Alligator mississippiensis: one gene and its partner. The protein of the gene in region 1 binds, or shares a complex with, the protein of each later gene. Links are inferred from orthologs where the notes say so. Each region holds a gene or a part of one and is shown on either strand. Other genes may lie near its edges. The genes, in order: GATB and GATC.

Region 1 (16,405 bases):
GCTTCAGTGGGGCCAAAATACCAGAGAAGAGCTTTTACCTGTAGGTCACCAGTTCAAAACTAATCCAAGAAACTACAAAATTTCTGTCAGTACATCTGATGGCTACTCATATTATGTGAAATTAATCTATTGCCTGTGGACAGCAGTTCTCACCCACAGAACACGCCACTCTCTGAAGTAGTTGACAGATTCTCCAAACAGGTCAAGAAGAATGAAAAATCCTTTCAATTTTAGATATGTCCATTAAATTCAATGAATAAGTACATTAGTAGCACAATCTTATATCTCATAGCTGCTGTTCTTTGTGCTATACTTAAAACAAAAGTTCTCATTCTTCAGGTGTGTTGAAAACTGGACATGATCACTCAATTCATGCAAGTAACTTCAGCACATACTCCTCTACACAATAAATTAGATTAAACATGCCCATATACTAGAGCCATGGAGCAGGCACTTACCAAGATTGGAAACATACAAGCCTTTCTGCATCTGCATGAAAATTATACCTGTTCATCTAATTTATATTTCATTTTTACCACACTTACTGCTTTGGTATCTGAACACCTGATTCTGGTTTTGGGAGAACCAAAACTGTGAAATGGAAGAGAAGCATCAAGGCGTATAGTAAAAGGCAGCAACTTCTTTTTGCTGTTTCCAGGAGAAAGTATTATTTGCACTTCTTGATTGGAATGCCCATGCTACCATTATCAGAAAGCTTGTCAATACACTATAAATAGATAATGCCATATAAATAAAGTTTCCTGAAACTTATCAGAGGAAATGAGCAAAAGCAGAAGGCAAATTTTATTTTGTGTAATGTACTGAAGGTATTATAAGAACCTAAGTATACTTCATGGGCACCTAAATGATTTAAGAGTCCAATGGTGAAGATAGAGACCAACTGAATTAATTGGTAAGACTCCTGTCGACTTCACTAGAATCAGGATCTCTTTTTTGAGCTCACTGAGGAGATGCACCTAAGGCAGCATATACCCATAAATACATAAAGCAAAGGCTCAAAATACTATGATAAATTTATACACATAAAATTATAGGAGGTACAGAACAATCATGATAGATACAAAAGTTCTTCAAAATAAAAATTACTCTAGTTTTTTGGAACAATACCAAGGTGCAGGTTGTCAGGCAGGAAAAAGGGGGAAAGCTGGGATGAGGTTATCTCACTTCAGTAAGTGGAAACTTCAGTCAGAACCTACTGGATTAATCTTCAGATTTGTTTCTCTTTTCCTTCATTTATTTTATTGCACTACTAGCACAACAAAACTTAATCAGAAAGTTCCATCTGGTCACCAGTTTTAATTCGTATTTCTTATTGCTTCAGAAAATTAAAAGCAATTCTCTACACTGAGTAAAGTAAAGGCAACCCAAGCAGCACTGTTCTAAAGCTCTAGAGTATCATTTTCTTTTATAATGTAACCTCTTTGAGCTGCTTGTAACCTATAAATAATCCTGCATTTTAAAGAAATCCTTCTATGAAAAGCAGAATTCCTGATGGAATTTAACACTTGAGACTATTTTTAAAGTGTTTTTGATTAAAAAATTAATTTTAGACTAAAATAATACCATTATTATAACAGGCTTACTGAAAGTATTATGTTGCTTAACAACTCTGTCAAACAATTCCTTCACTTATTTCATATGAGATAAAGTCAATAATAATTGGAGATTCTGTTGATTATTAATGCTGTGTCCCACTACAGGGAAAACCCTTTGATGTGTATTTCTAGGTTCACTGGAATTTTGCCTCTTAAACAAACTTAGTATTGGTCTTTGTGTCTATTTTTTTCCTTGGGTGAGGCTGTCAACTGGAATCTTCAAATTGAAATGACCACATGAAACTGAAACCCTAAACAATTTCAGATAATATTGGGATGGACAATTTATATTACAAACAGAGTTTGGATGGGATGGCTTGTCTGAAAATAAACGGTTATGTTAACCTGCAAGCCTGTGTTACACTGGCTTTAGAAACACTGAAAGATTAGGACTTAGATATGTACCTCATACAAAAGACCTTAGGTTTTCCCTTATATCCAGGGGTGAAGGGAGAAAGTTCTTGCTCTAGGCCTGTGTTAGGTGAAACCATATGCAGTTGAAATTTTATATCTCTGACCTTATATATGAAGTCATAGATAGTTTGAAACAAGAGTTGTAACAAGAGTTGTTGCTCTTAATTTAGGAAATATCAGGCCTCAGACATAGCAACCCAATAACAGCTCTTTGCAATTTTGGCTGAAAATAACAGGGGAAAACACAAGGAGGCAAAAATACTAGCAAAAACTGAGAAGAGAGGAGAAAAGAGCTATCTGCTAAATCCTTCTACACTTCTCCTTTCTCCACCCCACAAGAAGGGAAACAGCAAATAAGGAATGGAAAGACATTATCAAAGGACATTTTTATGCAGATGCCAATGAAATGGAAAGTACTATACTGATCAGTGCTTTTATCTATTGAAACACCGTGAGTCATTTTCTTCTGTGCGTGTCTTCAACAATGTCATCTGTATGAGGCTCAAAAACAAATCAATGGTTTTTTCTGCTGCAATCTGGCCATTTTGCCAATTGTCTCTGCTATATCAATATGTAAATCCCATTACTTTAGAAGTGAGGTAAAATATAAAGTTGGGTGACTGCTCCTTGGTAAACTGTAGAATACCTACACATAAACCTGATATGCTTCCTAAATTACAGTACCTGCTTTAGTTCAAAGCCCTTTAAGATGGTGTACAGTATAATGGGACTAATGCCAAAGGGTGTGATCACCAAGAAAGTGATACCATTGGTTTCCTGCTACAGAGAATTGACAGGCAACTGAAAATCATGGCCAAAGTAGTACAGGCTTATGGTGTGAAGACGAGAGCATGCTGTGTTTTTGGGAGGTCAGTTCCCAATAACACAGAATCAAATTCAGCTCAGCAGTGTTGCTAAAAAAATATACCCACAATACTTGAATACCATTCTAGAAGGCAAGAAGTTTGCTTCTAGTTGGTTAGCAGAGGCACTAGGATTAGAAGTGGTTGAAGTTCCACTACTGTGGAATGAAATCAGTGGAGCTACACCTACTTACACAGTGTTGACTGTGCCCTGGGGGGACTTGTCTGAAGATTTCCACAGGTCCAATGAGTACAACAGTAACTCTGCCCTAGCTGACTGACCTGAAACATAAGAAGGGCATTGTGTCAGAGTGGATTATCTTCTAAGGGCATCAGATATTATTTTCCAACCTCAGGGCCACATACGATTCAAATTGCAGGTGCAAAAACCTATTAAAAACAGCACACCTAGATAATTTAACAAAACAAAGACAATGACATTTCAAACAAAGTTAAATCATCCCCAAAATCAAAATCTATTATCTCTATCTATTATCTCTGTCTCTTGATGTTTGAAATGTAAAGGTCAGCATAGAACACCTGCAATATGGGGCTAAGGATCTCACTGGCACAGGACACAGCCCAAGAAAACTCTCTGGCTCAGTTTCTGCCATTTTTTTATTGCTAGATTAATACAGTCTTTAATGAAAGACCACCCTGAGGCCACCCACACACTTAAACAACAACATGCAAGTACAGAACTGATAGATAATATACGGCAACCATTTTAGCTTAAGTTGATCATCTGCTGGGGTCAAAAAGAAACTTCCCTTTCTCCTTCCATTTCACTAATAAGATAATGGCAAATTGGTTAGATGTATTTTTTTATTTATATTTTGTTCCTATCTTCAGAAGCTTTAGTAAAGGCCTGGTCTGGTATAGAAAACCAGTTGAAAACTGCAGAAAATGAGGAAAATATTTTTATATATACCTGTAGAGAAAACAGCATTCAAGATACAGAGGTAATTTTAGGGGATCTAAAAGCCTGAAAATATTCCTTTACCATAGTTATCTTCCAAACACAGTAATCCTAGTTATTCTTCCCTGTAGAACAGTGATTATCAACCAAAGTGTTGCAGCACGCTGGAGTGCTGCAAGATCCTTCAAACGGTGCTGTACAATATTACCACTATTAGGTGTACAAACTTAGCATAAACACCTAGCATAACATCCACATCTGATTCACAAAATAAACCCAGAGATCTCAAATAGTACTGTCATCCATAGTGTCAAAAACATTCAAACCTGTTTTGGTCTTTGAGTTCTCTGCAACAGAAGAATCGTTCTATTTTTAACATGGTCAAAAAAATGAGTGAAAGCTAAGATTTGGCACTTTCTAAAGGGTGCCTGGAGTCTAAAAAGGTTGAGAACCACTAATGTAAGGACATTATTTTATCTGGCCGACTAGGTCTCTACTCTGCTGACAGCCACACCCTTCATGTTAAAAACCAACAAAAGTTTTTGTCTGTCCCTTATTACACATGCTGAAATAAGATACTACAGTCAGCCTGTGAGCAATCCAACAAAACACCCCATGTCTGAATACCCCACTCCCTGATATGCTACAGGGAGATCTCGCAGTTCACAAAAAGGGATAAGAATGCATGCTAAACATAGCTTACAAGAAAGCAGAATTTAGAGATCTCTGACCCTATACACTGAAATTTAGGAGGATCTTCTTTCAAGTGGGACAAAGAAGAGTGTGCCTTGCTTAGATGATACATAAATATAGGGCTTTTGTCTTGCATGAAATTCCAATTTACTCTTAGGTATCCAGTGCATTTCTATATCAATAAGAAACTTGATTTCACAGCAAACTCCCCTTTATACCTGCCTTCTTCAATAGAGAAGTCTACACAGTTAGTCCAGATCCACTGTCATGCATGTCTTTATGCAACTCCAGCAATTCCAAGGCACAGCATAATCTATAAACACATTGTAAATTGAATGCTACTGCCCAAAGCACAAAGAAACAAATAAGAATTCCTTTACCTCAAAGTAATCTGCTGGGAAAGACAATCATGCCTTGCTTGTCTGCAATTGATCAACATCCTGTAACTGTGAGAGTAAGCTTTCATCTACTATTTGGTCATTGGAACAGAGCATTACAGAAGTTTTTTTTTATGGGATTATTTTTGGAAGCCATTTGCTATGGCATGGGGGGTCAGCAATATAAACATGGGGCCTTTTTCAATCTTACTTACCCTTCCAGGGAAGGGAGATGTTTGGGGATGGAAGATATGTACCCTCTTCAGTTTCTTATATATTCCTCTTTTTTTCAAGTATGCAATTAAAGGGCAGAATCCAGTAAGATCCTATAAGAGTAGGACTCTGCCTAATGTGCTGTTAATATTTATAAGCTTTTAACTTATTACTACTTATTTCAGAAATGTTTTATTACATCATAATACCAGGCTTTGAAACAAGTCCAGTAATCCAAAATTTAGCATTTTCACACCAGTATGTACTTAAGCCACATTCTGAAACCATACCAAAAACCTGCTGATTTGATGTACTGATGCCTCCAAAGTACCAAAGAATAATAAAATCCAGAAGAGTTCATGAAGGCAATTGTTAAAGAAACCTGATGCAAGGATAACATCTATACACAACAGCTTCAGCCTATCGGGAGCTCTGACTAGGAAGACTGTGCTCTGTTAAGCCAAAGGGAGTCCAGGTGGATACAAGGAGGCTAACAACACAAAGCTTCCTACACAGTCAAGACCTAACCACCTCTTTAAAATGAAGCCAGTGAGCAAAACAGTACTATAAAGGTGATGCCAGCAATCTGGGATTTCAGTTAAGTGCACAGAGAGATTTAAATTGCCTATGACTGTGGATGATGGCTGCAGTGGTTACCTGTGGTAGGTTAGGGTGCTGTATCTTGTGTTGCATCAGTTAGCCGTAGTCTTATGAAGAGTTTAGATCAGTGGTGCCCAAAACTTATTCCACTTTGGGCAATGAAGAAAGGACAATGTTGAGAGTGTCCATGGACCAAATCCAAATCTGATCTGGCTGCGCAGGGTGGGGCAGAGGGAGTGTGGCCTGCCCCATGCAGCTGGGGGGCGGGGGGTTAAGGGTGTGGCCCAGCCCTAATCCAGTTGTGCTGGTGGAGAAAGGGGCAAAACCCAGCCCCAATCCCACCACACTGTGGGGAGAAGGGGGCACAGCCCAGCCACAATCTGGCCATGCTGGGGGAGAAGGGGACATGCCCCAGCTCACAGGGTTTGGGAATCTGGCAGCAAGGGAGGGGAGGCAGCATTACTTGCACCACTCCACCCGCCACAAGACTTCTGAACCTGTGGGGAGCTTCACAGGTCAGACACATTTGGCCCACATGCCAGAGATTGAGCTCCTGTGTTTTAAATGATAGGCTGTACGGGACAGTTTGGAAAGGGATGATCCTGCCTCAGGCAGAGGGTTGGACTAGATGACCTTTGAAGGTCCCTCCCAGCCTGACTTCTCTGGGGTTTTTATGAACAGCCTGTCCTGTTCCCTAGAGCTGCCAGCCTCCTCCAGGCCCTGGATCAACTCCATTCAACGTTATCTTGTGACTGGCACATGTCAGTGAAATGCCGGTGCTAAATCACTTCCCCCTTGATCCCAGTCTACTAGAGAGCAGCAAACAGCGTTGCCAGGTCTTAAAGATGAAATTATCATACTGGAAACTCAAAATGATCATATCTGCTGAAAAACTATGCTATGCTGAAAGAATATGCAAATAAGTCTTTTTCTTAATTTACTGTCTCTTGCTTCTTGTAAGAAGCCAGTGAGTGAGAACTGGGTCATCAAAGTTGAAGTGCTTCTTTATTTGGAGGCAAACAGTCATCATAAGAAAGGGCTGACAGCACACCCAGAAGTCAGCTAAGAACCCCGCCCCCCCCCCAGCAGGACTTGGGTTTTGCATGTGCTGCATCAGCAAGCTGCCTCGAAAATGATGGTTTAAAAGCTTGCTTAATAATTGATCTCCAACTATTTAGTTGGTCTAATAAAAGATATCAGATTCACCCAAAGAACCTTGTATGCCTATGTCCTTAGACAAACACGGCTACAGCCTACACCCCTCAAAAATGATGGTACATTTTAAACACTTACTAATACTGGTTGTACATTGTATAAGGGTGGAGATTATTGTACAAGTACGATCATTACAGTCCACCTAGCAACCCTGGGAGCAAAGTTCTCTGCCCAAAATCACTTATGTGGCCTTTTCTGTGGCTTTTGCACTTCCCTGACCAGAAAAGAGGCTCTGGCCTGGGGTCCCCTCCCGCCCATGGGGCCTCTCCCAGGCCCTCATGCGTTGCCCTCTCCTGGCAGTTTCATAGCGCAGAGCCCACGGGCTCCTTAGCCTCGCTGGCGAGCCCGTGGATGCTGGCCCGCGCCCCAGCCCGTCTTCTCCCTCGCCGCCCACGTGTTGGCTTCCCTGGGGGGGCGGGGCACGCTTCACACGCCTGCCACAAACGTGCTCCTCCCCCACACGCCCCTGCGGCCGTTACTGGCAAACTGAAGCGTCATCACCATAGCAAACCTCTCCCCCAGCGGACCGCGGAACAAGCGCGCTGGAGCCAACCCGAGGGCGGTGCTGGGGTCACATGATCCCCGCCCAAGCTGGTCAACATGGCGGCTCCCGTGAGTGGCGGCGGCCGCCTTTGTCGGCTGGCCTGGCGCCGCCGGGCAGGAGCTTTGCACAGCGGGGCGCAGCCCGCGGCGCTCGGCCGGGAGCCGGGGAAGGTTGCGGCGGCGCAGAGCGGGTAGGGCCCGGGGCGGCCGGGCGGGGAGGGCGAGGCCTGTCTACTTGGGGCGCTCCTACAAACTCCCCCGTCGGCCTACGTCAGGACTCACGTCGCCCGCCGTAGGGGGTGCCCCTGCAGAGTTCCCCTCCCCCCTGCCGCGTTCTGCCCTAGCCGCGCCGCCTACGTCAGAGTCCACGTGACCTGGCCCAGCTCCCCCGCCCACGGGTTCCCCCCCGCCCCGTCCCCCTGCAGCTGCTGGGAGAGCTGGTGCTGGGGGGCTGTGGCTTTATTTTGGTTTTACATTTAATTTCTGGGCTATTAACACTTGTCATTTATTGTATCCAGCACATACTTCATCATATACCCAGCCACCCCCAGTTGCCCTCTTTTTTGGAACTGGAAATATGGTAACTAGGGTTGCCAGCTCTGACTGAAACTATTCTGGGAGATTTTTTTCTTCCCAACATGATGTAATGTTATTAATTGATTTAATTTTCTTTAAATCTCCTATTTAAAATCTCCTGGAATTCATTAAGTAGTCACTGGGAGATCAGTGCTGATTCCAGTAGACTCCCAGCCAATCCAGCAGGGTTGGCAACCCTAATGGTAGCCCTACCTGATTGCTAAGCCTAAACCATCACCAGCCCCAAGGGATACTAGACCTCAGGAAAAAAAACTATTAGTGAACGATGATTTAATGCAGACTGATTTTGAAGGTATCCAGGTTGTAGCTGTATTGATCTAGAGGCAAAAGGAATCAAAACTCATGGAAGAGGTGATATATTTTATTAGACCACTTAGATACTTGCAAACCAGCTAGATATTGGCTGGGATGATCTAGTTGGGGATGGTCCTGCTTTGGGGAGTTGGACTACATGACCTCCTGAGCTCCCTTCCAACCCTCACTTTCTATGAGTCAAACAAATTGTTTTATTTTTTTGCAAGCTGTTGGGCGCACACACCCTTCATCAGGCATAGGAGAGAGCAGAAATTGTAAAAGTTCTCCTAGGTAGAAATGAAAATTCATATTTTACAGGAGAGCTGAAGGTGTGGTAAAATCTATTTGGAATAGTTAATTTTGTCCAGGCACAGAGAGAGGCTGAAAAAGTCTTTTTACCTCAGAGTTGTCTGGGGACAAGCAGAATGTAGAAGCATATTTCTGCTGGTCTTGCTGCCCAAGTGCAGGGGGCCTGGACCCGACAATCTGTAAGGTCCCTTCCAGCCCCTAAAATTTATGAAACTATGAAAGAATGCTTAGCCTTAACAATTTGGAAATTGAACAGTGGCACAGGAAAGAGTGAGGGGGGAAAAAAATGAAACCAGAGGAGAGATGAAGGAATCGGTTATCTTTAGAACTTAGTAAGAGAAAAGGTGAAGAGAGAACAAAACGTTCAGGAACCAAATCAAAAAGCAAAGCGCTGATTTGTTTGAAAAGTTTGGGGCTGTTTGACATCTACGTGAAAGAAAAGCAGCTGAAAGACTGTATGAGTAGTAGATTGTAGTCGGTAGACACAAAGAACTTAAATGCTGGAAAGTTGTCGTTGGTTTTGGACAACAGCTTAAAAGGATTCCCCTAAATCAGGAAGTGAAAAGATAGGTCTGAGCTCCAGATCAGTGTCCATGATTTCTGTTGCTAGTTCAGAAGCTTCATGCCATACTATAGTAACTACTTCAAGACCTGACTTCTAGGGGAGGGGGGAAGCCCCCAGCCTTGCCAGCACCCAAAACTAGGGGCTATTACATGAGACTTCTGGCTGTGGACCCCAGCTAAGGATGACAGTCATAGGTCTGTAGGCATCACCTGGAGCCTAGTGCAGTGGGTGAAAGCCCCAAAAAGGCCATCGGGAGTTTTGGTGCCCTTTTGAGGGTGTTGACAGGACAGCAGTCTGGTGCACCTGTGGAAAACCCTCATACCCCCATGGAAGCCAAGGCTTTGATCTGCATGGATCTGAACACAAGATCAAGGGATTCATGTGGGACACTTTGAAGATTGTGCTTAGGAAGGAGAAGAGCTTTAAAGGAGTTGGTTGTGCAGGGAAAATTAGGCCAAACTTTAGATTTTGGTAGAAAAAGAGCCTGGTCTACACATGTGACATTTGTCCCATGCCATGGCAGAAATAGTTTCTAATTGGTTATTCAATAAACGTTGGAAACGGAACATTGCACTTGTATAGCTGGAATCAACTAAGGATGTGCCATAACCACAAACTAAACTGATTAGCTCTGCGTCTGAGCTACAATCAGGCCCCAGAATGGAGGGGCAGATGCAGTCTAAATCTCTACCGACTTGTAATGCCAGAAGGGCCATCTAAGCATTTTTGGACTGAGAATCTTGCCACTTTCTAGTGTACTCTGATCAGCAGCGAAGTAATTTAGCATTGATATTTAAATTGTCATAAGAGATTTATGCAGATTCCAAGTTAATTTTGAATGCAAGCTCTCCATATTTATCAGAGTTGTTCTTTCAGGCCCTCTGCAGACTCTGGCAATCATCAGTGCATTGTTTTATGCTTGCTTTATACTTTGGAGACTTTTCTTTCGAACTATAATAGCTAAATTCTTATTATTTTTAAAATGAAAACTGAAGCTCTGGTGCATAAGATTACAGCCATCACAAAAAAGTACCTGCTGATTGAGTCACCATGAGTGAATCCAGTATGAATTGTGGAAATGCAGAAAGAAAACACTTACTTATGCACGTGCTTAATTTCACTGGCCCTGCGTTTCATTTGTTTAACTGGTTTCCAGTTGATTTAATTGGAGTCATTGTGGTGACTCCTGGTAGCAAAGCTTTAAAAAGTTTGCATAAGTTTTTGAAGGATTGAGGACAGTTACTTTAAATATTCTAATAGGTCTGCAGTTGAAAACTAGATAAGGCTCTTCATTTTTTAAAATGTAATTTTATATGGTTCCAGTCAGCATACACAAGCAAAAATGGTTGTAGAAGACTTTATTTGAATGCCTGAAAGTCCTACATGATAGTATCTGCCTTCCTTTAATGAGTGATTTATATAGGATATGCTTGATTAAGTTTTGGTGATCTGTAGTGATGTCCTCAGCTATTGGAGGACAGACACAGAATTCAAGTCTTGGCAAGTAAAAATTGCATTGTGTTCACCTTTGAAAGAAACACTATATTTGATATATTTGTTTAATGTTTTTCCATAGCCCACTTATCTGTTATAACTATCTTGGTACTTATATTTGCTGAAGTGTCCTGCCATAGAAATGTGATTTCACCACTGAAATATTATTTGTGTCACTGCATTCGTACAAGGCCAGATAATTACTTACAGAAACCGTCGAGCCATTCATACTGTAAAGGTGACCTCTTTCTCTTGTCCATATAAAGGTTATGGATGTGAGAATTGCAATTACTTTTCAGATGATATGGAGAAGCTTTATCTGTAGAGCATGTTCAAAGAGCAGTCACTCTCCAGTTGAAATGATGATTTCTCTATTACCAGACTACTAATGTTTATGCTAATCTGGTACTAACATTGCTCTGGAGAGCCACCTTTCCCAGCATGCTAGTGACTAGCTGACAATGTGTACATAATTTAATATGCCACCTGTTTGTTGGAGACTTATCAAACTAGTTGAGAAGCAGTTGATATTTATGATGATTTCATAATTTCCATGGGGTACGAAATTGGGGGGTTGTGCAGTATGTTCCTTCACATTGCTTATTTCAGTGCAGCTTTTCATGGAAAAGTTTTCAGATTCATACATTTATTCTCATCTACTTAAATCATCTTTAATGTGTACATAATAAAAACACTTGGCCGCACTATTTGCCTCAAGATTTATAAGATTATAGATTATAAAAGATGTAGATTAGTCTGTGGCCTCCAATGCAGCAGCATAGGACCACAACACACTATTAAGTGGCAAGGTTTTTTTTGTTATTTTGTCTTGTATAAATTTTCCTAGTTATTAATGGAGTGATGCACACTAATTATATGTTATTTCTCCTCTTTTTCAGTGTTGCTCCCTGGAGAGCAGTGGTGGGTCTGGAAGTTCATGCACAGATCAGTTCCAACTCCAAGATTTTCTCTGGCTCCCAAGTGCAGTTTACAGCACCCCCTAACTCTTTGGTATCTTTTTTTGATGCTTCTCTACCAGGAACCTTACCAGTAAGTTGCATTTAACCTTACCTTCTCTTACAACAGAATCTTAACAATTTTGCTGAGCAGATTTCTCAAGGCACAATTTTTATCTTTCCTTGTTCATAAGAGTTTAAATCTAGCCCTGTTCTTGAATTTATCTGCCTGAAGCTCCTACTTGGTAACTTTAGATCTTTATTTTAATATTCTTTGAGTAATGTATGTTGTAGTTGTGTAACCACAGACCTCTGAAAATTCCTGATAAGGAAGTAATGCAGGATTAAGGGTAAAAATTTTATGAGCCCAGAATGAGTGTATTTGCAGGGTAATGTTGATTGATGTTTGTTGGTTATACTGTATTTAGTTAGTAAGCAGCACTAGAAGTTCCTTAAATATTTGGAGGTATTAAAATCCTACAAAAGATGAGCATGTTAGATTGTCAAGCAGCTATTGCCATTACTTTGCCTTATGTGTTTTCATGTAGCTGTCATTTACTGTTTGGAATGCCTCAGAGTTGTTTTTTGAAGCAAAACCTATCTGATTTGGAAAACTGTAAACCGTTCTTATTTTTTATTTATATTATGCTATAAATATTCATAACACTTTACAGAGTAGTAAAAGAGGGATTATGGAGATAACTCTTAGTCCTAAGAATTTATTAGTGGCAACATAATTCTTTTTTAGTTTAAAGTCTCATTTGAATTTTTCAGTATGATTTTTCTCTAAGGTGACCATGACAGTAATTCTTGTGAGTACTTGCACATTGTAAAGCTCTTGGGGATCCTTTTTGGAGAGAGGTGCCATATAAATGTAAAGTATTATGTATACAAATTTGATGTGTTTGAAAAAGTAACTATTGAATGGGCTTATTCATACATCAAGTATATTCTGTTGTGGTCTTTGTAAACGAGTATCAGTGGAGTCAAACTATTTAAAGCAGAAGTGCTTCACTGACTGACTTCATTGGAAGTCAAACCTGAATTTCTTTTATTGTCCTATTTGAACACTTTCTTCTCTGAAAAAGAACAGTAGGTGGGATTTTTTAAATTGGGTATAAACCTCTGGAAAGGCACGTAGGATTTTGGGGGAATCCAAACCATGTGGAAAACACCTTGGGGAGCTTGAGAACAGAAATGTGACTTCAGTTACAAAGTAAAAGGTATTATGAAAAGTAAAAGTACTTGTGGAAGTATTAGAAGGTGGATGGGGGTGGTATAGTTTATATTAGATTATTGGATTGGTGGTAAATTCCAGGGAGATGTCACAGTATAATGAGAACTACCCCAAGGGAGGGTTAAATTCTTATGAATACACTGTTTTCAAAAGATTTCTGGTATCTTGTATGGAACTGATGAGAGCAACTGTTTTCAGGAGATGTTGGTGGTACTGAATTGGAAAATAAATTCCTTTTTAATTTTGAATCTAGTACATAGCCAAAAACCAGGAAGGCAGGATTAGAGCATGGGTTTTATGTCTGTCTACCCTTCCTTTCTACTGTCATTTTTGCTGTGGTTTAAGTTCAAGGTTCTGGTTTTGGCCCATCTAGTTAATACTTGGTCAGTGAATGGAAATCAAATCACCTAATGCATATATTGAATCAAATTGGAAGTTGCCCAGGAAGAAAAAAAAATAGGCCAAAGCATGGTGGAATTATAGTTCATGGAGGGTTTTCTGGCTCTATATGTCTTTGTTAAATAAAAATATCTTTTTCCTCGAGATTTGTTTTCAGTCTCATTTTTGCTCTTTATAAAAGGGGCTGGCTCTTGCTTTCATGAGTGTTCCCTAGCGGAAAATCATGGGCTTCACCAGCTACAGACTTTGGTGGAGAAGATAACTGCACCTGATTAACAAAGAACCTGATGATTAGATTAATAAAAAATTAGTGATACTGCTCTTGTTTGCTTCCTTCAACTGCTTTTATCTGTATGGGAGGGGGGGGATCCTAGTCCAAATACAATGAGGGCAGAGTTGAATATGAATATTTAAAATTTTCTTGTACTTGTTGGTAAGACTGTAGTATGGAGCCCATTCTTTATGTAAGCTTTGTTTTCCCACAGCATTCACTACATCAGCCAAGACTGATCTTTGTTTTGGCATCGGAGGACTGATTTGTTTAGGCATGTGCATTAGAAATATCTGGAGAGTGATAGGAAATGATATTTTTGCAAATCTTCTAAATAATTTTAGACCAAAATTTGTACCTTTCTTAAAGTTGTATTATTTTGCTGGAATAAGTCTCTAGGATCTCAGTAACTAATATTTCCTTTGAACTCTTGCTATTTTGCAGAGAAACTAATAAGAAAAGCAATATTTTAGTAGAACTGGGAAAACACAATATTTGTGCTGCGTCTGCAGCAGAGGATAACTACAGTAATAAATGTTGTTCTGAGAACTGTAGTGACAGTTATCGGAATCACAGGGATTTAAATTTATGGAGAGATCATCCGACAGTAGCAAAGGAGGACCATCTGTGTATTACTGTGCCTCCTATAATGCTTCCCCAGTGGTGCCAGAACGAATGGCACTAAAGGAAACTGATATGATTGCCATACATTTCTGGATCACTAGTAGAGTACAGATGTGCGAGTGTCACATCCATTTCATCATGCTGCTGCTCATGATGTGCCTTAGAGAAAAATCTGTGGGCATGAGCCACAGTGCAGCTGCAATCCTATTTGGAAATGAGGTAGAATTAAGGGATAGTTTGAGGAGTGGGGAGGTGGGGTAGGGGAGGGAGTGCCCACATATCTTTCCCAATGACAGCGGTAGACTACAGCTATATTCTTCTGGCTTATACTATAATCCTATATAATTTTGATCCTCCTGCCATGGAACTGTTGGAGAGAATTACGTCCTGATCAATCATGGTACTTTCCCAAGTATAACATAGACAGCTTTTCAGAGACTTATTTTATTCTCCGAGGGTTTTGCTGTCTTGTAGAACTCTATAAGAGCTTTCAAAACTATAATGTGCACAAGTGTGCACCTTATTTTTATTTTTTTTTAACCACCTCTCCCCTAGGTATGTGGGCTCCAGTGATGAGCTCTGGTTAGCTACCTTTAATATTAACAGGGGCTTGGGCTGTAAATAACAGCTTCTGAAGATCCCTGCAATTGCACAGCCAGGTGACATGTGGCAGGCCCTGTGTAGCATTCTGTATATGAGCTATTAAGGCTACCTTATTTACAACCTGAGCTTTGTTCTGTTGAAGTTAATCAGGGTTGTTGCTTAATGGTAGATGAAATCAGGTCCATAATAAAACAACCAGACGGCTCTCAGCAACGCAGAATAAACCACCTAAGACACCCATGGGTAAGGCACAGCTATTTAAATCATGCAAATAGTAAAAACCATTTGCCAAATTATGTTGCTTTTGATGTTAAAGGGGTTTGTTACATGTTACCTTTAGGCCATGCTAAATCAATGGAATATGATGGAGTACTAAAGTTAGAATGTGCTGTGAGCAGTTGCATGTTTATGGGTGATATGGTCTCTGACCTGCACAGCTATCACTTGCTGCTAAGGGACTGGCAAGCAGGGTACAGTTAGGAGTAAGGATACCTTGGCTGCAAGGATCGGGGAGGGAGAGGGTTGCAGCAATGGGGTCTTGGAGCTGGGAGGCGGTAAAGCATGGGGCCATGGGTCTCTTGTTTCCTCTGCAGGCCCCCTGAATTACTGTGGGGGAGAGCTCTGCTGCAGGGAGCCTTCCACTGACCCTGCCCACCTGATCTCAGTTCCCACCTCCAACAGCTCTCCCTCCTGTTCCAGCCGCCTTTGGAGCGTGCTGTGTCTTTCCATGCTCCCTCCATATTAAACCTTCGTAGCTCTGCACTCTGGCTTCCAACCCCTCTATGGCACAGCCCTCTTCCACCCTTTCTAGTCCCAGACAAGAGGTGCCACAGTCCCCATCAAACCACCTGGCAAAGGGAAAGCTGGCCATTGTTGGGGTAAAATGGGGCCAGACCACATGGGGAAAATTTCAGTTAACATTGAGTAACTGTTGTTAATTGAATTTTCCTGCAGGATTTGCTTGGTTCTAGGCCAAAGGTGAAGCCCTCTCCAGGGAAGGTTGTGAGGGGGCTGGGATTGGGTTGGCAGGGGTCAGTGGTGGGCTTCCCAGCTTCATACTTCTGCCGCCACAGCACCCCCTCACTCGGCACTGGTGGGGTTCCCACCTACCCCCAGGCAGTACCAGCCCTTGGGCAGTAGAGTTTGGGAGGATGGGTAGATCCTCCAGGATATTAGGAACACATTGGAGGCCTTGGCATAAGTGCCTCTGTCTTGTATACATTCTCCATTATGTAATTCATAGATGTTAGGGACTGGAAGGGTCCTCACAAGATCATCGGATCCGGCCCCCCTGCACTTGCGCAGGAAAGATTGCTGGGGTCAAATGACCCCAGCAAGGTTGTACGTCAAGTCGTTTTTTAAAGATCTCCGGCATATGTGATTGTACCACTTCTGAGGGGAGTCTGTTCCAAACCCTAGGCACTTGAATCATAACTAAATTTCTCTTTATGTCCAATCTGAAGCGATCTTCAAGCAATTTGTGTCTGTTGTTTCTTGTCTTACCCTGGGGTGCCTTGGTGAACAGATGCTCCCCCAGGCCTTGATGTATGCCCCTTATATATTTATAGGCTGCACCAAGTCTCCTCTAGGTCATCTTTTCTCC
Region 2 (16,383 bases), on another chromosome or scaffold:
TGCTATGAGCTAAATATTTTAAAATAGTCAGTAGAAAATGTCACAAAAGCCACCACTCGGTTCCAAGTCCCGTGGCTCTCTGAGGACAAGTGCGCCTCTCCCTCTTCACAGTAGGAGCAGCAGAAGATGGATTTTCAAGATCTTTTCACCACTTTGTACTATCAGAAACATCTCGCCATGCAGAAGCACATCCCTAGGGACGGTAGGCTTGTTTCAGGCACAGGAGCCTGCTGCTCTGATGGTCACAGACAGAGAGAGAATCCTTCACAGGCCAGGGCAGCCCTGAAGGCAAATCCCAGTGCAGGGCAGCACTGGGCAGACTCGCACTGCACAAGCGTCACAATCTGCGTTGCCAGAAAGAAAGACAGTCAAGACCACCAGGGCTGATCCCGGCTCTCCCCAAGGCCGGTGCCCCACCGAGCAGGCAAGGGTTTACCCACCCCACCTTTCCCTCCCCGACTGCGCATGCGCAACGTGTGGAAGGCCCGCGGGCTGGAGGTAATTCCTCCGGGAGGGAGGGGAGGGGAGGGGCGGGACAAGAAAGAGTCGGGAGTCGCTCGACGCCCAAAATGGCGGCGGATTCCCCATCAGGCAAGCCGCAAGGGGAGCCACGTGACTAAAGAACGTCAGCGCATTGGCGCCTACGCAGTACAGCGAGCGCGGCCCGACGGTTCAAGGTCAATCACAGGGCGGAACCCGTTCGGCTGAGAGCGCATGCGCACTGAGAGGCGGATGCAGCTGCTCATTCCGTGCCCCTGTAGGTCGGCACCTCCCCCCAGTTACTTCTGGTTCCGGTGCGGCTGCTCTCGGGGCGCTGCGGCCGAGCAAAATGGCGGCGCTCCCAAGGCTTTCCCGGCTGCTCCTCGCCCGCGCCCCGCTCGGGCGGCGTACGCTGGCGGCGGTGGCGGCAGCGGGTCACGGGGAGGGCAACGTGGGTAAGTGTGGGACCGGGCCGGGCAGTGGCTCCTGCCAGAGTCCCGGCCCCAGCCGTGGGGGGCGCTGTTCCTCTCCCCGCGGCGCGGCTGTGCGGGCCCCGCCCTTGGGCTCTCGGGCACGACCCGCGGCGCTGAGGCGAGCGGGGCCCTGCGGTGCGGCCGGGCTGGCGCCGTCCTACAGTGGCGCAGCGGGAGCCAGGGCTCTCCGCCAGGCCGCTCGGGATGGGGCGGTCCCCGGGGGTGCCTGCGTCTGCGCTTGGGTGCGCCGCCCAAGGGCGCTTGGGGCTTCCAGCACTGAGACCTTGGGACAGCCCCGCTCAGCTGCTGCCGCATCCCGAGGGCGACTCAAGTCAGGGGGTGCCCGAACCTCTAGCATAAAAGCTTCCTAAATGCCTGTAGGGCTCGTGGGTCAGCCTGGAAACAGCCTGTCAGCAGGCTGCTCCGGCTCTGCCCCCAGCCAGATTCTCCCCTTAAGTATTCCTCCCCTGCCATAATTGCAGGCTGTATCAACCAGGCCCTCTCCTGGTGGATTTAAGGACTAAGATATGCTGCCCCCTCATCTGATGTGTGTGTGGTTAAAGTTCTTGTTCAGTCTGTCAGAGACTTGGCTCGAGTCCTCTTCCTCAATCCATTCTTACTGATTCCTAGTTGAATGCTTTGTCCGTTGGGGGGCAGCACGTGGCTTGCTTAGAAAGCCCCCGCAGGAGACAGATGGGTTAAATCTCTTGCCTCTCGGTCTGCCCACCTTCCTGGCCATGAGAAGGATCCCTCCAGGGGAGGGATTTCAACTTAGTTCTTCCTCCTTCCAGCTGAGGGCTTTTCCAATGGAAGTGTTGGATAAAGAAGTGTAACCATCTCCTCCCTTGGAAAGCACATGGGTGCTTACTGGAGGAGAGTGCAGAGCAAATCCCTAATAGGGGAGGTGTGGTTTCTTGCAATCCAGTGAGTGGTGCCTAAGCCCAGAGCTGACACAACCAGGTTGTGGGGCCCTGCCCCTGCTCCGATCCAGGCCTGGACCCAGAGAAACTGCTGTGGGGGTGGGGTAGTGAGTGGCTGGATGCAGAGCTGCTGCTCTGTGCTGCTGCTTTGCCTCCCACCCAGCTCCATGGGGCCTGAGGCAGTTGCCCCAATTTGCCCCCTCCCCCTCGGACGGCCCTGCCTAAGCCCTGAAGAGTCGGGGCTTGAGACTTTTCCCTGTCTTTGGTATCTTTAACTGTCAATGTCAGAAGATCCCTGTCTAAAGCATGTTGGCTTTTGTGGTTGCTATTTAGTTTTTAATTCTTGATGCCTCGCATATGAAGCCAAGGTGGGAACTCCAGTAGGTGGCTAAGCTCTGAAGTTGAGCACTGATCACTACAATTCTTAAGCTTGCTTTGTGTGCTTAGCCCCATATAACCAAATCTTTCAAAAAAAAAAAAAAAAGGAAACCCTAAGCAGACTGTGGCTAATGAATCATTTTGCCAACCGTAATATTGTTCAGTTTGAAATCCACTGTTAAGTGTACAGGGTACTTATCAGCAGAAAGTGGGTGGTTATATAGGGAATTATAAAATAGAAAGAAGGCTTTCACTGTTTTAAAAGTAACAGACTAGCATTGACCAGAAAAATTGTCTAAGCAGTTCTGTCAGAACATGCCACTTAAAATAAATCTAATTCTTGAGCATAGATAAGCAAAGCTTTGTAGAAGTTGCTTTTGAAACAACAGTTTTTTTTCTGTATGTAAACCGTGAAACTTCATTTTGAGACTGCTTCCAAAGTTTTTAAAAATGATAGGTTGTTATGCAGAACTTCCCATTTTGTAACGAGATTAATATAAAATGAGGCTCCATCTCATTTTACTAACACTTCCTGAAATGTTGTTCTAACAAGTGTGATTTTGAAACTCTCTCTAATGTTGCCCATCCTCAGTATCCTGTTTCTCTCCTTGCTAGCTCGAACATGGAAGCTCCTGACCTTTTTTGTTGCTTTGCCTGGTGTGGCAGTCTGCATGTTGAACTGCTACTTAAAGGCGCAGCACAAGCATGAGAGACCAGAGTTCATTCCTTATCCTCACCTCCGTATCAGGACCAAGGTATGTGCAGCAGTATGGCCCAGACAATTACTTCCTCAAATCACTTAGTATGGTTCTATTGTCAGCCACCCTGCCTTTTGTCTGCTGCTGAAAGACAAGGAACCATCTTTGCATTTGTAAGGTTTCAAGTGTTCACACTTCCTGTGAGGTGGGTTGTGAGCTTTTAAGATCTCATCCAAGACATTTTTGTAAATGGACATATCTAATTTTCATTTTCTTGAGAGTGAATTTGATGCATCATCAAAACAATTTTGCTCTTAAATAGCACATCTCTCTGATCTTAAGCTAGACTTAAATTAATGAATAAGGACAAAGACTGGACCAGAGTTATCAATGTGGGGGTTATACAGGCATAGGAGTTGCAACTACGTTGAAGTAAGAGGGTTGCCTTGTGAGTGAGAGAATCCCTGAAATAGTGGTTAGCATCTGTCCATCCATAGGAAACTTGTTGAAAGGGTAAAAATACTAGCAGGTTCTAATTCTCATTCTACTGTTACACTTCTATGCAGAATGGATTCATACTAAGCTGCCTCTAATGCGTAGTTGTCTTTGATATACTGACTCAAACTCATTCCTACAAATACATTCTTGTGACTGCTCTTTGCACATCTCTGCATTGCAAGTTTGTTTGTCTTTTTTACCTTTTAGATGGTGACTTATCCAAGCACCCCAGACTTAAACTGAAGCTCCATTTTGTGCTTTTATTGTTTCTGTTCTAGCATAAATGACAGGTGTGAGGTCTGCATCAGTTGGCTCATTCACTACCCTTTCAGTTGCATAATGTTCTTGAGCCTGGCTTTACTACCTTTTACAGGTGTTATTTTCTTGTACCTTAGCATTTCTGTCAAGCAATTACCAAGCAATTTTTAATACATTTCTTCTTTTAACAGCCCTTCCCTTGGGGAGATGGGAACAAAAGTCTATTCCACAACCCGCATGTCAATCCTCTCCCAACTGGCTATGAAGATGATCACTAAAGATGTGGACCACAGCAACTTGAGCTACTGATATATTCTGACCAGAACATTTGTATGGGACCTTTCATCTAAACAATTATTCTGCATTCCTGTACTGTAAGGTTATAAATGACATTCTGACCCCTTGTACTGCACCTGTACAAGAGGTCACCTTAAATAAATAATTCCACTTGGATTTCTGTGTGAATCTTGTGAAAAGTCTTGCTCTAGTTTCTACCCATCTAGACAGTCTTATTGTTAATACGTCTTTCAGGTAAAAGGTTTTCAACTTTTAAGCAAGAGCATAATGGGCTTAAATGCTGCTGCTTTGTTTTTTAAGCAGACCCTTACTTACTGCAGGCTTCTGCTTTATCATTATTGACTCTAACAGATGAGTGGAAGATGCATGCAAGCATCAAGATCTTTAGCATGGTTAAGTTTCAGATTAAATTAATTCAATTTGAGGTCTGTCTAATTGACCTTGTTCCCAAAGCCATAATGTATGTTTTACTGATTTGGTTGGTATGGAAAGATTTCTTGAGACCACCAAAGGGCAGGAATATTACTAAAATAAAAACATGAAATCTATTCTAGCAAAGAAGCTTGCACCGATCCATCTATTCCAGTGTTCCTGATGCTCCAAATTGTATACCAGACATATAGGGAATAACAGATCTATCAACAAGACTTGGTCCCATTAATTAATGTTTTACTTTAGAAATCCTGTGCAGCATCTCCAATGACCTGAGATGTTAAACCTGTCAGAGAACCAGAGGGAGATGCATCTTTGTTAAGAGGAGGGAGGGGTGGGGGTGGGCTGAACAGGAAATAAGACCTGTAGTTAGTAGCAGGGAGAAAAATTGTTGAGAAGGGAGCATGTGGAATATAGCTGTCCAGTTGGAGCCTAAGATACAAAATCATATACTGTAGGGCTCCATATGGCATTTTTCTTCTGTAAAAGTGAAGCAAAGGTGTTTGTTTCTTCCTTTAGATTTCCAGTAACACAATCTCTTTATAGAAACTTGATGGACTAGAGGCCTTTTATGAACTTAATACCATGTTTGCCCAGATCCAAGATGACCTGCTCTCGTTCCTCTCCCCCCTACCCCAATTAATTATATGCGTAGAAAATTGTAAATCTATCAGTATTTTTCTACATATAGAACTTAATTAGTGGAAGATCATCTTAAATGCATCCTCTGCACTGCTGTGGTAGTGGGGTGAGGGACAAGATGCCTACCCCCTTCCCTACTTTCTGCTACAGTTCTGATCCTTCAGGGAAGCTGGCAACAGGAGTAGCATCAGCAGCCAGCCTGGTCAGGGAACAGTGGCAGTTCCAGGCAGTGAGGTTGGGGAGCTGGAGCAAAAGGTAGAGGGGTGAGGGGCAGGTAAAGGTGGGGAGGTAAAGAAGTGGTCCCCTATCCATTCCCTAGTCTCCCCTGTACTCACACCATTAAGTGAACCATTCAAATCTGGGGTAGGCTGAGCTATCATCTGCCCTGGGCTCTGTTCCCCTCCCATGTATGAAAAGTATGTTTTGTTACAAGGAAAACACTTTTTTATGTTCATGTATCAATGCTTATTTTGTCTCCAAATACCCTCTGTTGCATTTTTCTTTCATGCTGTTCCTAGAATCAGAAGAAATGGGGAATTCTAAGAAGCCCACGTAAGAAGATGCAGTTTTCCCTATCTCAACTTTACAGGATTTAATTCATACCCTTTATTACAGCTCAACAAAGCAATTTTGGCCAATTACATGAGGCAGCCTAAATAAACTATCCCCTGTATTAAAGCACATCTAAGGCGCTGTCTGGTGGAGCTGGTTTTCAGGCACTACAATTCCTTGTTTTCCTCCTACACAAGCTTCAGTAAAATGGAGTGAAGTTGCAAGCACAGGTGACCCTTAATAAAGGAATGTTAGTTGCATATCTCAAACCACCTTAATTCTGTTCCTGCAACAATGTCAACTTTCATCCTTCCCCATCTCTGCCGGAAGAATCAAAGTGCTGTATGGAAAAACTGGTAATGGTTAGCTTTACCTTAACACAGCATTCGGTTTTTCTTCTGAGAATCATTCATCTAGTCTGTGTGCTTAACCGGGGTACTATAAGATCATTCTAAAGGTGCTGCACAATATTAGCACTGTTAGATGTGCAAACACCTACATGTTATTCACCAGAGAAAGCCAGAAATTTGAAACAAGAATCCAAAGTAAAAAATGCTCTTTTATGGTCTTCCTGCGGTCAAAAGCTGTCGTCGTTTTCCTGAGTTCCTTGCCCAGAAAGAATTGCTGTTATTTTTTTGTATCAAAAAATGAGTGAAATCTAAAAGCTGCCATTTTCCAAGGGCTGCCTTAAGTCTAAATTTAGATTTAGATAAGGAAAAAAGCCAGCTCTGCTTCTAATAACACTCTGGGTGGGATTCAATTATTAGATGGCATTTTACAGGGTCAGGTTCCCAAAGAACTAAATGCTTGGTGAAGATTCTAGGAATGATTAACTCCGCTATGCCATGTGTGGTGTCAGCAGTTCAGTCTTTTGGATACTGTGTGCAGTTATACAGCAACAAATGTTTTAGGCCAATCTCAATTCTAAAGGTCATGGCTAGCTACATACACTCTTAAATAAGAATTCAACAGTTGCAGAGCACTGCTATTCAGCAGAGGAAAAATCAAGACAAGATCAACTGCAACCTTAACTTCTACTTTCTGGAAGATGTGTTGTTTGTTCTAAGTACTTTTAATGGCACTGAGTACTTATTCCCCATGTTGCAGAGATACTACTATGACTTTCTGACTTTTAAAGCTATTGAAAAGACTGGGAGAAGAGGGGAATTTTATTCCTGTGATCCTAGAGCAGTTTACAGCTACAGACCCTAAGAACCCGTCTCCTGTAAAACACCATTGTCTGGAGATACTGTGCTTACAGCCTTCTATGGCATCTCATAACAGAACTCCATCCCTGCAAGTCTCATTAATTGAGTACGGCACTCCTGCTCTTGAACCTAGGAAGGCACAATGGAGTACAGCTGGTCTCTTGCTAACTGTATTCCCAAAGAACCAACACTGTTTTGAGCTCTGAAAGAAAACAAAAAAGGATTTATCAGGTTGGGCTTTGCCCTCTAGCCTTTGACTCCATATTCCCCTCACAATCCAGCAGCCCCTTATCTTCACCCTAGCGTTCTTGAGGGTAAAAGACTCAGCTCTTTTATTGAACTGGCTGGGAATTTTCCCTTTTGCAAACTTCAATGTCCACATGAAGGGAAAGAATGACCCCTGATTTGGGCCCCTCAAACCCCCAAATCCCTTGCCTTTTCAGTTCCTCCGACTGAACAAAAGCAAGAAAAAGCCACTTTCTTAAGGGATCTTGTAGGATATTCAGTGAGTTGAAAAAGGTAGAACTTACTCCTAATAGACCTCATGTCTGCATAAGGAAATAGCTATCAGAAAGCTGACGGGGAAAAATTCTTTCCTTATGAGAGGTCTCTAGCCACTTATATTACAATTCACAGGTTAGTTCTAAAGATTAGTGATGGTACTTGCAGAAAAAAAGATATTAAGCTTACATCTCTAGCAATCCTTTGCCCAAAGTATTTCAAAATCTAAGTCGAGTAACTCTTAAAAAAAAAAAGAGAGACTAAACTACTAAATTTGGGTGCTGGACATGCCTTAGGTAGTCCTATCTTGATGTGCTTTTTCTTCTTCTTCCTTCAGATTTTTCTTCTGGCTCCAAAGTAGCAAGAAGTCTCTACTGAAAGAAAAGCAATACAGATGCCCTTATCCAATCATAGTTTACGTGAAGCCTAATCTAGTAACTAGGGTCAGTCTGGCACTTTTATGGTATAGCATGGAAAGGTGTAAAGGATACTGACTAAGCATGCACTGCAACTTTACTCTCGAAGCTGGAATCACTTGCTAGTAGACAGCAGTAACATATTATCAGTGCTTTGAGTGAGGCTACTGAGCATAACTCCTCAAGTCGGTGTTTCTCCCCTGTGGCAGGTTGCCTTCGGCCTTTCTTGAAGGCCAAAGTCAGGTTTAACTACACCCCTGCATCCTTTAGTTAAGTATAACTTGACCTGACCAGGTTACATTCTTCATTGCATATATCCAAACACTGCAGACCCAATGGTGGTAGCATTTAAAACACTGCTATAATTAAACGGATGAGAGGCAAGGCTGTAGCCCATAATATTTAGTAAAACAAAGATCAGTCAAGATGTAGCCCACTAAAATTTGGCAGCATGCACCTCTTCATGTTCATCTTAACACTGGAAATTGTCTAATATATAAATAAGAAACAGAAACCAATCCTAACAAGCATTCCTCAGTTCAGAGTACATTTGTTTAGGAAGTTAAATGAAGGGTTTTTCACACTGCAGAACGTAATGCTCATTTCAATGCTCATTTCAAATGGAACAGTAATTGCCACACAGCTCAGCATTAAAAAACTGCACAGAAGACTCCTTGCTTTTTAAAAAACCAGACAGAAGCAGCAGCTGATTTAAAGCCACCTTCCCATCAGCTGTCCTCTAGTCTTTTGTAAGATGATTTTTTTGAGCCCAAAGATCAAGCTAATGGTTCTGTGTGGTCCAACTGAAGTCATGAGGAGTTTTCAGCTTTTCCTTTGCTGGGGCCCATGAATTCCAGCCCTTCAATGGGGATGTCCTTCTCCTTAATAGCTTTCTAGGAGGAAAAAAGAAGCAAATATTTTATACATCTTTTGCTGTGAAGACTTTCTTGGTGCCTGATGTGATTTAAGACCACTCTGCTCTAGCTCAAGTTGGTATTAAGGCTTCCAAGCTGGACCAAAGAAAGTCTGAGAGTTCCTGCTAAATCAGTACTAAACTGCAGCCTAGACCCTCACTCATCTCTCATCCACACTCCTTCCCGCTACCATCTCAGTAAAAGGGCAAATTCTACTTAGTAAGGGAAAGAAAGCAAGCTGAGGGACTCTCTGAAGAAGTCACAGTGCTGGAAGCAGAAAAAACAAAAACAGACGTGAATGAAGGATTTGTGGAGGACTAGATTTTAGATTTACAGCACCATTGGAGGAATAGAACTCTTTTGCTGAAGGAAAGAAATTAACGAAGTGGTTCTTAACCAAAAGGGAAAAGAGAATGCACATTATGAAGAATGAAAGAATGAAATGTAAGGAAACAGCAAAAGAAGGCACACAAGTGGAAACAATAAATTTTGTAAAATTAAATGTCTAAAAATCCCCAAAGGGACACTCAAAGACTCTCAGTGAACTGTGCGGTCAGCCCCTTCTACCTGCGTTGGAAATCATTAAGGAATGATGGCTCAGGTGTTTGGCCCCTTACAGGGTGTGGGTCCTGCTGATGAGCTGATACTGCAAAATGAGCAAACATGGTCTCACATATATTGAGGAGGTTCTGTAAGAGGTGGTAATGCTTCTTTAGACTAGCTTGGAAAGGTTGCTCCTTTGTGAAGTTTTAGCCTGTCAAAAAGCTTATATGACTCTAAATCCAAATCAGCTCACTATGGGCATTATATAATACAGCCCTACAGGTCATCGTGGCTTCACAGTGAGGTAGTGCTGCAAATAAAAACATCCTACTGAGGTCTGTGCCATGCCGGGCAGCTCCTCATCTGGTGTTTTGTCTCAAGGAAATGAAACACTTGAGAGTTTGTAAAGAAGGAGAAGCGATGCTGGGCTATGGCCAGGTGAGAAACAGACACAAGGGATGTTTTTGAAGAGGAAACATTTGAGAAGACAAGAGGAGCCCGTGCTGCCACCGCAGACGTTACCACGGTGTCAACGAGCGACCCGCCAGCTCTCGCACGGCATTTCTTCTCCCGGCGGCGCCCGGGCCCCGGGGTCCGTCTCCCCGCCAGCACGCCGAGCGCAGGAGCAGCAGCGGGCACAGGCTAAGAGGGTTTAATCATCTCCCCGGCTCGCGGGTGCTAGCAACAGGCCCGGGGCCCCTTCCTCTGCACCGGCCTCGCGCGACGCGACGAGGCTTCCCTACAGGGGAAGGGCGGGAGGCGGGTCTCGCACGCGGGCGCGGCGCCCACCTGCACGCAGAGCTGGTAGCGCTTGAAAAGCTGCACGCAGGGGTCCCCCGCGCTCTCGCCCTTGAGGAACTTCTCAGCGAACCAGCGGTTGAAGCACTGGTCGTACTCGCGCTTCAGCTCCGTGCAGGCCTCGCCCACGCTGTTCATGGCGGAACCTCCGCCGCCTGAGGGGCGGGCCTCGCCGTGACGTACTTCCCGCCCGGCGCGGTTGGATGACGTATTTCCACCGCGCGGCTCCTCTGCCGGGCCGGGATGTGGGCGCTGCGGGGCTGCCGCTGCCTTCGCGCCGCCTGGTCGTGGGGCGGGAGCCGCCTGGCGCGGGGAGCGACCGGCGGCCGGCAGGTGGCTGCCAGCGCCGGGGCTGGTCACGTGCTGTCGTACCCCATGGGCTGGGGGCGGGAGGTTTTGCCTGGGGGGCGCCTGGCGCCGACTTCCTTAGAAGCGAGAGCCCGGCAGGGGCAGCGCTGAGGGCGAGGGCTGAGCCCAGGCCCGGGGTTGTTGATTTCTCGGGCTCCAGCTGCACCGGGCATCCCGGGACTGGGTGCGAGCGCGCGAAGGCTGGCGGGGGCCGCGATCTCCTTGCTCCGTTTCTTGGTCCGATTCGATGCCTTCCACCTTCTCTCAGGGGAATTTCTCCCTCAATGTGGAGTCAATTAAACCTACTGTAAAAATCCCCAGCGGGTGGAGACTCGTCCTTCCCGGGGCCTGTAAGCAGCACGGAGCCATTGGGCAGGAGGCAGCAGTGATTTGCACCTTGTAGATCAGGGCTTGCCAACGTTTTTGGGCAGAGTGCCCCAAACACCCATAAACTCGACCTGAAAGATATTGGTGTGCCAGGGGCAGATAGCGGGGCCCGTGAGGCAGCGCAGCCCTGGCCCCTTCCCTGCCATCCACCCTAAGGCACATGTGCCAAGCAAAATGCTTTTGATTGCTGCACTCTGGCACCTGTGGTGGCAGGCACTGCCTACCCCTTGTTGTAGACTAACAAAAGTGTGCGTGCGCACATATATACTATCTACTTTGGTTAGTCTGTTTTCATCTACCCTGCCTTATATTTATCATGGCCTATCTCTTGCACTTTAGATTGATCAGAATCCAGAATGGCAGCTAGAGGAACAGAAACCGCTTCCTCAGGTATAATGAATCTATCAACATATGTACATTTAGTCCAGGCCAGTCTGTTTCTGCTAAATGATCACTGCAAATCTGAGACCGAGTAATAGAGGAATTCCTAATATCCTCTGGTCAAGACTCAGGATAGTTTATCTAGCTTTATGTTTATTCATTCTGCCTATCCTAACTCATCCCCATATGGTAGTCTTAATACAGGACCTAGACATGTGACTTCTTTTTTTCCCCCTTTCTCAAAGAAAAAAGTAACCATGGAGTTGCTTGATCATCTGGAACGACTGGCACTAGTTGATTTTCGCAATTGGGAGGGCGTAGAGCGGCTGGAGAAAGCAATTCAATTTGCTGATCAACTTCATGAGGTTAACACAGAAGGGATAGAGCCAATGGATTCGGTACTTGAGAACAGGTAAAAAATTATGGTTAGTGACTGTTTTAACTACTAGTTTTCCAAAGAAATGCTGCAGTAAATTTTGATAATTTTTTTGCCACTAATCATGCTAAATATGAAGTTGGCTGGTCCTCCACAAAATCCTTTATTTTAGGTCAGGTGTTTTTTTCTTTTGGGAGGGGTAGAGGAGTGTCTACAGTGTCCCTAAACTTGGAATATAAACACAAGGCTGTACACAGATTTCTTAATGTTCTTATGTAGACCATTCATGTTAGAAATATCCTGTATTACAAATGCAAAATCATTGTAAATCACTCCTGAATGTTCTTGCACCTGGTGTCTGCACCCCGAACAGTTTCAGGGACCGTTTATATAAACAATGCCTTCTCTGTATTAGTTTCTTTAGCAGCTTCAGTTCATCAAGAAACCAGATTTTCTGCATGCTTATATGAAAAAATGTGTTTCACTCAGCTCAATATAGAGTAGGGCTGATAATGTTAAGCACTAGGCCAACTGCTGTATTTATTTCTTCAGAGAACTCAGGACATGGTATTGCTCATTTCAGGAAAGCTCAGTAAGTGGCAACAACACATGTGCCTGGTCAAATGTAAAGCTTGACCTGAACAATGGGACTGGTGGAAGCGTGTTACCCAGCTGCCAGGGATCTCCCAGCAAGACCTAAATTCAAGATGCAACTAGCATATTTTAGTATGACAAGTTTTGAAGGCACTTCCTTCCGATTCTAGAGCATGACTTTGCATCCTGTATCAGACTCTCTAAAGCACAGTTGGCAAAGTAGGTCATTTGGAAAAAGAACATTAAGTTTCCTGTGCTCCCCAGGTGTCTGTATCTCAGAGGAGATAACATCACAGAAGGCAACTGCACCAAGGAGCTGCTACAAAATGCCAGCCAGACAGCAGAAGAATATTTTGAAGCTCCACCAGGTAGAGTTCTGTTACAGATGATGCTAAATGGGACTTGATACCTGCCCTGATTTTTAAGAAGTATTAACCTGTCAGTTAATTCACTTCTGTGTATACTGAATGGTGGTAAACATGTACTGAACTAGGATGATAGCCACAGTCACTTGTTAAGATAGAGAGGGATGGGACCCTAGCTCATTATTACTTAGTGGCACTGCAGAAGTTATGGCTTTATATTTACACCTAATGTTGCTTATGCAGACTCTTTACAAAAGGCAGCTTTTTGTAAACTCAAGTGCAGCTTTTTTGCAGGGGAAAACCTAGTCACTGGTAAGTGTTTAAGCCACAAGGACAAACATGCGAGTTGCAGCAATATTATTCAGGAAACTAGCAGGCTGTCTCATACTCTCATTATCTGTTTCCTATTAGGTAACATCCCTCTACCAAAGTTAGAAGAGCGTGAGAGCTTCCTGCAGGACTCCAACTGAAAAGCTTGGGCCAGAATGCCATACTGGTTCTTTCAGCAGTATGCTGTTGGGGACAATTAATCTTATGTAGCTACAGCTGATGTTACATTATCCCAAGAACAACACCCACACACGAGTACTGATTCTTTCTGCTGCTCCTCTTTACAATATTTTATTTCTATCAAAGGGTTTGTTTGGATTATTTTAAAATATACACATGAAGGTGGAAGGTGTTAAGCCACTTTCAAAATAGAAATATGGCCTCAATACTGTTTGCTTAGTCTGCATTTGGTAGGGCTGAAGTGTCAACCTGGAGAACATCAAACAAGTTCAGTACTCTAGATACATCTGCATATCACAGCCTTGATGACAAGGGAAACTAGGACTATCCAACTTTTCTGTCAAGTTATGAGAGGGGCTGGAGAAGAAGTTAGGTACTGCAGCTTTGTAAGAACCTAATTCACTTAAACTATTTTTTACTTCCTGGCTTAGCTCTGATTAGAGGTCTAATCAGGAAAAGAAACCCTCAAAGTTCAGTACAGTAGAACAGGTACTGTTGAGGGAACTTCTGCTAGATTAAAAAAGCATTTAGAGAAAACGCTATTTTTACCATATGCCTTCATCTCTCTCAGCTCTGACTAGTCTTACATTTGTATATATACTGCTTTCCATGTATAGCTTTGTGGAATGCTATGCTAATATGCCAGATTCCTACATTTACACTTAAGTAAGGCATATAGAGTTTGTTTATACATACAAGTGATTTTTTTTGATGTAAAGTTGAATGCCCTGCCCAGAAAGGCCAGTGGAAAACACTTATTGTGAGAGGCCATTTGACCATCCATATGCATTGATTAAACTGAAGTTCTGGCTGCTTTCTGATCATCGTAACCAGAGATCCTGGTTTTCTCTGATTTAAAAAAAAAATGCAAACCAAAAAACAAACCAACAACCCAATTTTCAGGTTAAAAAAGGAACCCAAAATCCACATTTTTCTGTGATCAAAATGAAACACCACTACATATATATCCATATATTACTGCCGTTTCATTTTGATCACAGTTAAATGTGGATTTTGGGTTACTACTTTAACCTGAAAGTTAGGTTGTTTGGTTTTTTTTTAAATCAGTGAGAACCTGACCATAACACTGTGATGGCCTGGTGTATAATAAAGCAGTAGAGAACTTTGTTCCAAGCAAACACAGTTGTAGTAGTGCTAGTAGTTTGTTTTCAGTGGTAAAATCACTTATAAGGGGAATGAAAGGTGCTATAAGCAGTGCATTTATTTCTCCTGCTGAAACTTTCTAGTGTGACAGAGCCTGCCTTAAATAAATGTGCTACACTTAGACATGCACAATAGCCTTTGTGATGTCAGAACACATTTTAGGAACTGAAGCAGTTCAGCAACCTTAAAAGGTGCAAATAGATGCCATTAGCAGAAAGCTAACAGATGCCTTTGCTGTTCTCAGTAATGTACCTAGTAGAAACTAGACTGGAACCTGACCAGTGTTCTATCCTCAGCAATTTGGGCAAATCACTTTCTCCACCTTGGAAGTGACAGTGATGCTGTCTTGTTTATAAATTGCTTTGAGATGCAAGGAAAGCAGTAGTTGTAGGCCTGCACTGAGTAGTGTGACAGTTAGATGCAATTCTTTTTTCTACCATTTATCTGAAACTGAAGTCAGTAGCTTTTTCTGTACTGTAGTTGAGTTATTTATAAACCAAATTAGATTATTACAAGCATAGAGAATGCTTGGTTGATGTGTTTAACCCCCCCCCCCCAAAAAAAACCCAAACAAACAAACCAAACCCACCAAACAAACACGGAAACCTGCAACTAACAAGCTACTTAGCAGCATTCTAATTGCTATCTTCTTTTTCTCTTAATGCAGTAAGCTTTCCCTCTTTTGAAATAGGATTAGTTTCTCTGAAAAGAAAATGTCTTCAGGCACTGTTTTTCCCTCTGCTACCCTAGACTGCATAATTTTGCTACTGAAAACTGTTCTCCCTTCTTAAGCAGATGGGTACCCAGTGGGCATGGGACAGAGCTTGCAATCCACTCCCACCTCTTTTTAATACAATCCTCACATAAAAGACAACCACCACTGGTGAGTTACTAAAACATTTAAATATATTTCTACACAACAGGCTGAGCTGTACAGTCACTCCATTACTGTTTAGCACCATCCTGCAGGCCAGGAGATAACTGCACAAGTTTTTGAGTTTACTTTTCCTCAGCTAGAAGGGAAAAAATAAACCCTTGACATGTTTTCAAACAAAACACCAAAATGAAACCGCAACTTTTCAAAGTGTTGCCAACATTGCCCTAGTAAGAACTGTAAATCATAAAAAAAAGATTTTTATTGAATAAAAAAAACGAGTTCCTACGAAAAACTATCCATCAGTTTTGGAATGTAAATTCCGAGCAGAAAGAAGCTCAGTTCACATTTTAAGAAGTCCCTGTTGTTGGATGCAATCAGTATGGCCTGAAGGGGGAGGAGTACCGTGGTGATCCCCTGCTTTGGTATGGAGAATCACGACCCCTTGACCCAGAACGGGACCGTGAGTAGCCATAGCTGGAAATTCTTTCAGGACAGACTCTGATATAGGAAGTTTCACCCTGAAATTTAAACAGAAGAAAACCCAATTTTTTTATACTGCATCCTGATTAACAGTTCTTCACTAGTATGAACAACACCAAATGGAGCCTAGGACCAATACATAAATAAACAAAGATTCTACTAAGTTCAACTGCTGCTCAGGACAAACTGCTCTGATACTTGATGCTTATGGAGGAAAGCATACTTTATAAAATATTGCACCTGTACTAGCAAGGAATATCTTGTTAGCTATCATCCTCGTCTCTAAAGGGCAGAGACTCAACAGCTGGAACAGGAAACCCTGAACAAGTTCCTCCTAGTTCAATCAAATGGTAGAAAGCTGGTCTGACTGGAGGTGAAGGAATGGACAAACTCCATCCTTAAATGCTGGAGGATAGTAGCTATAGAAGCCAATACGATCCTTTAGCACAGTACGGAGAGGCCAAGCCCTGGTCACAATCATGTACCAGTAGGGGAATCTCCACAGCAAATACTCAACCTTCAACTGCCAGAGATGGTTGAAGCAGAACAACTCAGCCACTGGAAAAGGTGGATACAGTGAAGTAGCACAGCTCTAAGAACAAGACAGCTGTGACTTACTAGTTTAGACATCAGAACCTTACAGAGATTGCCACAAAATGATGCTCCATGCTGGGGAGGAAAAAAGACAGCCATAGCAACCTGTACAGATGCTTACCAGCTCATCCTTTGGGAGAATGAGGAAGTTTGCTCCAGCTGCGAGTGGTGAGCTGAGCTCACTTACTTGAAAGAAGGCTTTGAGCTACTAAGCCCTTAAGAAGTATACAAAAGCAAGCTGGCAGCAAGCAGTCCAAACCCTTTGCTTCCACACAAAGGATGTACCAAACAGAACTCAT

The links.
Region 2: GATB (region 1) and GATC share a complex: the UniProt entries of both Homo sapiens proteins name them as parts of the heterotrimeric GatCAB amidotransferase (AdT) complex. The link is inferred for Alligator mississippiensis from reciprocal best matches to the Homo sapiens genes GATB and GATC.

Annotation. Positions count from the first base shown.
Region 1 is NC_081825.1:96,835,921-96,852,325, forward strand, and holds the start of GATB (glutamyl-tRNA(Gln) amidotransferase subunit B, mitochondrial), read left to right. Parts: upstream 1-7,434; 5' UTR 7,435-7,510; coding exon 7,511-7,644; intron 7,645-11,611; coding exon 11,612-11,762; intron 11,763-16,405. UniProt on the Homo sapiens protein: Allows the formation of correctly charged Gln-tRNA(Gln) through the transamidation of misacylated Glu-tRNA(Gln) in the mitochondria. The reaction takes place in the presence of glutamine and ATP through an activated gamma-phospho-Glu-tRNA(Gln).
Region 2 is NC_081833.1:20,953,325-20,969,707, reverse strand, and holds GATC (glutamyl-tRNA(Gln) amidotransferase subunit C, mitochondrial), read left to right. Parts: upstream 1-10,211; 5' UTR 10,212-10,251; coding exon 10,252-10,341; intron 10,342-11,082; coding exon 11,083-11,133; intron 11,134-11,369; coding exon 11,370-11,536; intron 11,537-12,358; coding exon 12,359-12,462; intron 12,463-12,870; coding exon 12,871-12,929; 3' UTR 12,930-13,175; downstream 13,176-16,383. Other genes in the region: cytochrome c oxidase subunit 6A1, mitochondrial, read left to right, coding at 830-935, 2,867-3,006, 3,897-3,983; TRIAP1 (TP53-regulated inhibitor of apoptosis 1), read right to left, coding at 8,563-8,646, 10,000-10,146; SRSF9 (serine/arginine-rich splicing factor 9), read right to left, coding at 15,385-15,528. UniProt on the Homo sapiens protein: Allows the formation of correctly charged Gln-tRNA(Gln) through the transamidation of misacylated Glu-tRNA(Gln) in the mitochondria. The reaction takes place in the presence of glutamine and ATP through an activated gamma-phospho-Glu-tRNA(Gln).